Callithrix jacchus: one gene and its partner. The protein of the gene in region 1 binds, or shares a complex with, the protein of each later gene. Links are inferred from orthologs where the notes say so. Each region holds a gene or a part of one and is shown in the gene's direction. Other genes may lie near its edges. The genes, in order: NME5 and DYDC1.

The links.
Region 2: NME5 (region 1) and DYDC1 share a complex: the UniProt entries of both Homo sapiens proteins name them as parts of the axonemal radial spoke complex. The link is inferred for Callithrix jacchus from reciprocal best matches to the Homo sapiens genes NME5 and DYDC1.

What each region holds. Positions count from the first base shown.
Region 1 is NC_133503.1:36,544,984-36,549,345, reverse strand, and holds the start of NME5 (nucleoside diphosphate kinase homolog 5), read left to right. Parts: upstream 1-1,556; 5' UTR 1,557-1,600; intron 1,601-1,824; exon of another isoform or gene 1,825-1,874; intron 1,875-2,040; exon of another isoform or gene 2,041-2,104; 5' UTR 2,105-2,150; coding exon 2,151-2,279; intron 2,280-4,362. Other genes in the region: BRD8 (bromodomain-containing protein 8), read left to right, coding at 830-922. UniProt on the Homo sapiens protein: Functions as part of axonemal radial spoke complexes that play an important part in the motility of sperm and cilia. Does not seem to have nucleoside diphosphate kinase (NDPK) activity.
Region 2 is NC_133513.1:50,213,117-50,216,035, forward strand, and holds part of DYDC1 (DPY30 domain-containing protein 1), read left to right. Parts: intron 1-1,738; coding exon 1,739-1,795; intron 1,796-2,289; coding exon 2,290-2,394; intron 2,395-2,919. UniProt on the Homo sapiens protein: Functions as part of axonemal radial spoke complexes that play an important part in the motility of sperm and cilia. Plays a crucial role during acrosome biogenesis.

The sequences.
Region 1 (4,362 bases):
TAGCCTCTGGAATCTTGATTTCAGAATGTCTATGAAAATAAAGGTGATTTTAATGTGACTTTGCGTTCTCAGAGTTTATTTTTAATTTAATTAATTATTTTTTTTGAGACAGAGTCTCGCCCTGTCACCCAGGCTGGGGTGCAATGGCATGAACTTGGGTCACTGCAACCTCTGCTTCCCAGGTTCAAGCCATTCACCTGCCTGAGCCTCCTGAGTAGCTGGAATTACCAGGCCTGGCTGATTTTTTGCCTCTTTAGTACAGACAGAGTTTCACCATGTTGGCCAGGGTGGTCTTGAACTCCTAACCTGGTGATCTGCTCGCCTCGGCCTCCCAAAGTGCTGGGATTACAGATGTGGGCCACTGTGCCCGGCCTCTCAGAGTTTATTTTTAAAGGTGATTAAGGCCCTGAAGGATTGATAATCTGCCTGCTGGTTTGGAAAACCCTGAGCCTCAGTAAGTCCAGCTTTGATAGTGAAGTAGTCTAGGAATGCAGGCAGCAGTGAAGAGCTCTCAAGACAGCTGAGGACAGATAAGTAATGGGAATTCCTGCTTCCAGAGCCTTAAGTCAATGGGCTAAACTCCAAAGAGGCCAGAGTCACTGTGTAGTTTTTGGTTGCTTTATCTGTTGATATTAATATATGCTCACACTTTCCCATCTCTAGGGAGTAAGATACAGTAGCTAGAATACATTTGTGGGTTTCTTTTCTAGGTAGCATCATACTTTAAAGAAAAAAAGTATAGTTGAGTCTATTTGCCAAAGAAATAAACTTGCAATCCTTTAGCATGTAAGTTTCATAATAGCTTGCTATGTGTTCCTTAACCCTTTAGGTGCTGAATGTTTGGTTAGACAAAAGACAAGGCTCAAGTAGTCTGGAAGGAGAACCAGCCAACCCAGTGGATGATGGAAAACCTATTTTGTAACGTGGAGCTTCTAGCCTGACTTTTCTAGAGTTTGAAACCTCTCCCTGAACTCTGACCTAGAGAGGATCCCAGTACTTCTTTGCCATGTCTCTGTTGTCTTTTCCAATAAGAATATCCCTACCTCACTCAATGATACATGTGGACATAATATAAGGAAAAACAGGGGAAGCTGAGATTTGGGTTTAATGCCATAAATGTTGCATACATCTTTGTTCCACGGGCTTGATTTAAAGACAATTAGATTAGATCTTTTACTAAGCCTTTTACTCTAATAAATAAATGTCTTTTCACAAACAGAATATTGCTTTTTAATGACTAGGTAAGCTTGGCATAGAGGGGACAGCATCATCCGGTCAAATGAAGGTATCTGACACGGGTCTTACATACACTGCCTGGAAAGGAATCTGGGAGGTGGGGTGGTCTTATCATTTATAAAGTAGGGATAATTGAAGAACAGGATGAAATAACATAAGTTGTGAGTAAAATGTCAGAAAATATCTAGTGCCCTAAGATTCACAAGGAGAATAAAGATGACTACCTGGCTCGCTTTGGTTAAAACAACTTGCCAGAGGCTGCAAGGAGGTTCCTTGCTGGGATTGGCCCTCTGCAGCCACCGTCCCCACGCTGGGGCTTCAGGTCTCCTAGCAACAAATTGAACTCACCAGGGCGGCCGCTGAGGTGAGTGCTCAGAGAGGGTCAAATTCAGAATTTTCAGGTGCAACCCGGAAAGTCCCAGAGGACCCAGAGGCCCTGCTTTCCAATTAGGCCTGACCCTATGCACAGAGAGGTCCCTGCGGGACAGGGTTGCTTCACAGAGGCAGCCGGAAGAGGCCGCTCACCCGCCGCTGTATTGGCGTGTGATGTTGCCACCAGCCCGCCGCCCCCTTCGAGCCCCCTCCCACCTTCTGCTGCCTGGGAATGCCGCTGGTTCCGGGGCTTCGGGTCGACCCTTGGCCTCTGGTCATGTGAGCCCAGTAGTCCTTCCCGCCTCGGTGACAGCGTGTACGAAAAGCCGGGGCTCGATATGGACATAGTAGAAATCCTATTATTGAGACCCTGCATATAGAAAAACACGGCAGTTTTTTAACCTGCGTTAGTTAATAAAATCAAGTACCTAATATTGCTATTCTTAATCACAATTACATTGAATTTGGGATTGGGAGGGAAATTATGTCATTGCAGTTGACACCTGTTAAGAAACTCTCAATTTGTGTCCTGAAAAGCCATAATGGAGATATCAATGCCTCCACCTCAGATATATGTAGAAAAAACTCTGGCCGTTATCAAACCAGATATTGTTGACAAAGAGGAGGAGATACGAGATATTATTCTCAGATCTGGATTCACCATTGTTCAGGTAACTTCTGGGCATGATGATTCATGCTTTTTTCCTCTCTGCCCTTTAAAAAAAAATGCTTATGTAAATGTACCTACCCATTTAAACCGTTAATGTTCAGCATTACCTTTAAGTTTATTCTTTTAAGTATAAAAGTTTTATGTGATAGTTTTTAAAAGGATATAAAATGAGAAATAAAATTAACTTTTCCCTCACCTGTCCTCTCCCATTTCAAGTCCCAGGCTCCAGAGAGAGGCAACGCTTAACACTTTCTGTTCTTCCAGGAGTTTTCTATGCATTTATAAACGTTTTCCCCCCATAAAACAGAGCAGCCCTTTTCCCTTGACCCCCTTTACAGAGTCCCTCAGATAGGATTCCAAATCATTACATCTGAATTGATCTCACTCTTCCTAACTTCTGTGTAATATTTCCTTGTGTATTAGAACTACAGTTTATTTACTTGATCCTCTATTGATGGACTTTTAGACTATTAGTATTTTTTCAGTTACAACAAACATTTAATGTTTTAAGCCTTATATTTGTTCTGCAATTAGTAAATATTGTCATTCTAGGGATTTGAAAATGAATATAAATAGCATTGTTAAGGATTATCAAATAAAATTGAATATTTTTAATCTTCTTTTATAGTATTCTAATTTGAATTTCCAATTTTTTATTTTTTCACATTTATGCAGTGTCATATTGCTTATTTAGTTAGTTTTTTTTTGAGACAGAATCTCACTCTGTCACCCAGGCTGGAGTACGGTGGCCTGATCTCGGCTCACTGCAACCTCCACCTCCCGGGTTTTAGCGATTCTCCTGCCTCAGCCTCCTGAGTAGCTAGAATTACAGGCTTGTGCCACCATACCCGGCTGATTTTTGTATTTTTAGTAGACAAAATACTACTTTTGTATTTTGGGGTTTCACAATCTTGGTCAGGATGATATCAAACTCCTGACCTTGTGATCCACCGGCCTCAGCCTCCCAAAGTGCTGGGATTAGAGGCGTGAGCTACCTTGCCCAGCCTTTAGTCAGTATTTTTAAAAATAAAGAGAAAACGGCCAAGCACAGTTGCTCATGCCTATAGTCCCAGCACTTTAGGTGGCAGAGGTGGATGGATCATAAGATCAGGAGTTTAAGACTAGACCAGCCAATATGGTGAAATGCCATCTCTGCTAAAAATACAAAAATTATCTGGGCGTGGTGGCATGTGTCTATAGTCCCAGCTACTCTGGAAGCTGAGGCAAGAGAATCGCTTGAACCCAGGAAGTGGAGGTTGCAGTGAGCTGAGATGGTACCACTGCACCCCAGCCTGGGCAACAGAGGGAGACTCGGTCTCAAAAATAATAATAATAATAGGCCAGGCGCCATGGCTCACACCTGTAATCCCAACACTTTGGGAGGTCGAGGTGGGTGGATCACAAGGTCAAGAGATCTAGACCATCCTGGTCAACATTGTGAAACCCCGTCTCTACTAAAAAACACAAAAAAATTAGCTGGGCCTGGTGGCACGTGCCTGTAATCCCAGCTACTCAGGAGGCTGAGGCAGAAGAATTGCTTAAACCCAGGAGGCAGAGGTTGCCATGAGCCGAGATTGCGCCATTCCACTCCAGCCTGGGTAACAAGAGCGAAACTCCATCTCAAAAATAATAATAATAATAATAATAATAAATGAAATGAATAGAAAATATCAGTATTCAGAAAAGATATGGGATTTCAGTTGAGCTTCAAAGGGCAGGTGGAGGCTGAGGGAAGGGATGGTACGAGAAAGTGTTAGGAAATATTTAATGTAATTAAAGACTCAGGTAAAGAACTTTATAGCAAACGTTAGGAAAACTGGTAGCCACTGAAAAAGTTGGATCAAGTATTGTATACAAGGAAAGACTCCAAATGGACCTGAGATCTAGAAGCCATGAAAGAAAAGACTAGTAAGATTATATAAACAAAAAATTTCTTTACAGCAAAATAAATACCATAAGCAAAGTCAAATCATAACAAACTTTGAAAAAAGATTTGCAACTCATATCAGACAAAGGGCTAGTCCTCCTAATATATAAAGAGCTCCTAGAAAAAGATAAAAATAAATCAGTAGAAAAATGGGCAG
Region 2 (2,919 bases), on another chromosome or scaffold:
TTAATCAAAGTAACCTGATAGCTACATTAAGGTGCTTGAAAGTCTATAGTAAGGATTGGTCTCTGTTTCGTGGCTCCAGAGGGCCACACTCATGTTATTTTACTATCTCCAGGCATTGTCAGCTTGCGTGACCAGAGCCACAATAACTTTAATAATTCATATTCCTACTGGCTTATCATCTCTCACCATAGTATAGGTACTCCCCTGCAAAGTACTGTTCCCTTGCCCATTGCTCAGAAATGAATCCATTCATGTCTTTCCCCTGGCCTTATGGCTGCAGACTCGCAATGTAAACTGTCATGTGCACAGGGAAATTTGCTGGAAGGATTCTTGGTTTAAGGGTTTAGCACCTAAACTGTGAAGGACTCTGATGTCACTGGGCCTTTCAGACTTAGGGAGCAAGAGAATCAGATGCTACCAGGGCTCTCACTTCTGCTATTCCCTGGTTAGTTTCATTCTTTCTCTATGGGCTGCTGTGCTGCACATGGGTGGGGAATATGGCCCTTAATGGCTTCTGAGTCTTAGAATGTTGTGGCTTCTAACCATCTAAGAGGAATGGATTCCTTCTTTTAGTTTCAATTAAGAAAAGAATCTTGGAGAAGGATTCTGACTGGCTTAATTTGTGTCAGATATCCATCCCTGTGGCAGGGGAACATGGTCCTATAAGAATATGAATGTCCCTAGTATAGCCTTGTGGATGCTGGATAAGAAGTTACCAGGAAAGGGCCGGCCGTGGTGGCTCAAGCCTGTAATCCCAGCACTTTGGGAGGCCATGGCGGGTGGATCATGAGGTCAAGAGATCGAGACCATCCTGGTCAACATGGTGAAACCCTGTCTCTACTAAAAATACAAAAAATTAGCTGGGCATGGTGGCGTGTGCCTGTAATCCCAGCTACTCAGGAGGCTGAGGCAGGAGAATTGCCTGAACCCAGGAGGCGGAGGTTGCAGTGAGCCGAGATCGCACCATTGCACTCCAGCCTGGGTAACTAGAGTGAAACTCTGTCTCAAAAAAAAAAAAAAAAAAAAAGAAGTTACCAGGAAAATGGAGTGATCTTGGGAAAATAGTGCCATTTATGTCCCTATCATTAGGGTAACCATAAAGAAATCACTCATCTTCTAGCAGCCAAAATGAATCAACTCAGGGGCAGTTAGGCCACCCTGCTGCTTGAGAATGAAAAGATGGGTGCCATAGCAAGGTTTGGCAGGCTAGAAGAATGTTTTCACATTCAGAAAGAGGCCTCCCATGTTGGGCAGTACATTCCCACTGCAGTGCTGTTTATTAAAGAGGGCATTACTTAACTGCTGTGGGAGGACTTGTGCATTGGGCCAGATAATTCCTTTAGAATGTTTACTTCTTTCTCATTGTGTGCAAAACTCTACTTAAGTTAATTTCTCTTTAAGATCTCTTGTTCTAAGATTTTATTAGTATTTTTATTTTGTCACTTTCCATATTGGTAGATAATTTGACTTCAGTTTGAATGTTTCAGTCCATTTCATTTTCTAAAAAGTTTTATTTAATTATGTATAAAACATAGTGGCCTTCTGTTGGTATAGAGTATTTAATAAGATCGTGATCTGCAGTTTTGTAATGCGTAATCAGATCAGTCTCTTTCAGAGTGACAGCGTTTTTGCTTTAAATTGATTAAAAACATTGTGTAAAAATAAAAATGCCAAAAATTAAACATGAAATCAAAATTAAGTATATTCAAAGTATTTTCATAATTTTTATATATTATAGGAGATGAGAATGAATATAGAAAATTTAGTTAGGAGTGAAGATACTCTACGTTCGGAGGTGAGAAGAAAAAGTCACTCTATGTTATGTGAATTGAATTGAGTATCCTAGAATGTAAAGCTTAATTTCGATGTACAAGTAGCTAAATTTTTAGCAAGTGTATAAAACTGAGAGGCCATATATATTTTCCAGTAATAGCAAGTCACAAATAATGTGCTTTGAAGCAAAATGTCACTGTGGGTAAAAATTGGACATTCAGTTTGTGTTTGCAGTTTAAAAACTATCTGTTTTTAAAAACTATCTATCCTGAGATATTGAAACTACTGACCACATAATTACTTATAATTATTTTAAATTTCTGCCGGTATTTTTAAAATAAGTTTTATCAGTTATTACCAAAATTCTCTTGCCATTAACAGAAATTGGTTAATTCCATTAATTAATAATGTTGAATTTTGATGTTATAATCAGAAGTTTTAAAATCATAATTGAAAGAAAAGTAATGTATTAATTTTGAAATCATTTAAATGTAAACATGAATTTTATGATTGTAGGAAGCAACACTAGACTCAGGCAAAACACTAGCTGAAACCAGTGGTCGTTTTGGAGCACCTAACTTGAGCAGAGTGGAAGAACTTGATGAGCCAATGTTTTCTGATGTCAGTATCAGCCTGCTTTTCAAAAACTCTTTTTCGTTTTTTTGTTTTTTCACTTAGGTAATAAAGCCTAGGGAAAACAAGGCTAGGCTAGGATTGGTTGGCAAATGGTCCTTTTGCTTCAGAGAAAGAAAACCAGTTCCCTGGTGGCCAATTACATTCCTAATTGGCATTCTGCCCTTTTGTGAAGTGTGTCACTGGTCTATCTATATCTCTCTATTTGTAGCTGTGACCTCAAAACCTCTTCAAAATATTTTTTAAAATTATTTTGTGAAATACATAATCTTTAAACTTGGTGTGGGGGGCACCATTTTGGTTCTCAGTAGCAAACCCTGGAACCAAATGAATGTCCTAATGAGAGTGCATGTTTCTCCAGTATGTAAGTACATTTGTTTATTTAACAAACATACCATGTCTTCCATATGTCGGGCACTGGGCCTGATGCTGTGGTGAATAAAGCAGATGGCTCTGACCTTGTGGAGTTTACTGTCAGGGGGAGAAACAGACAATTAGATGAGCATTTAAAAG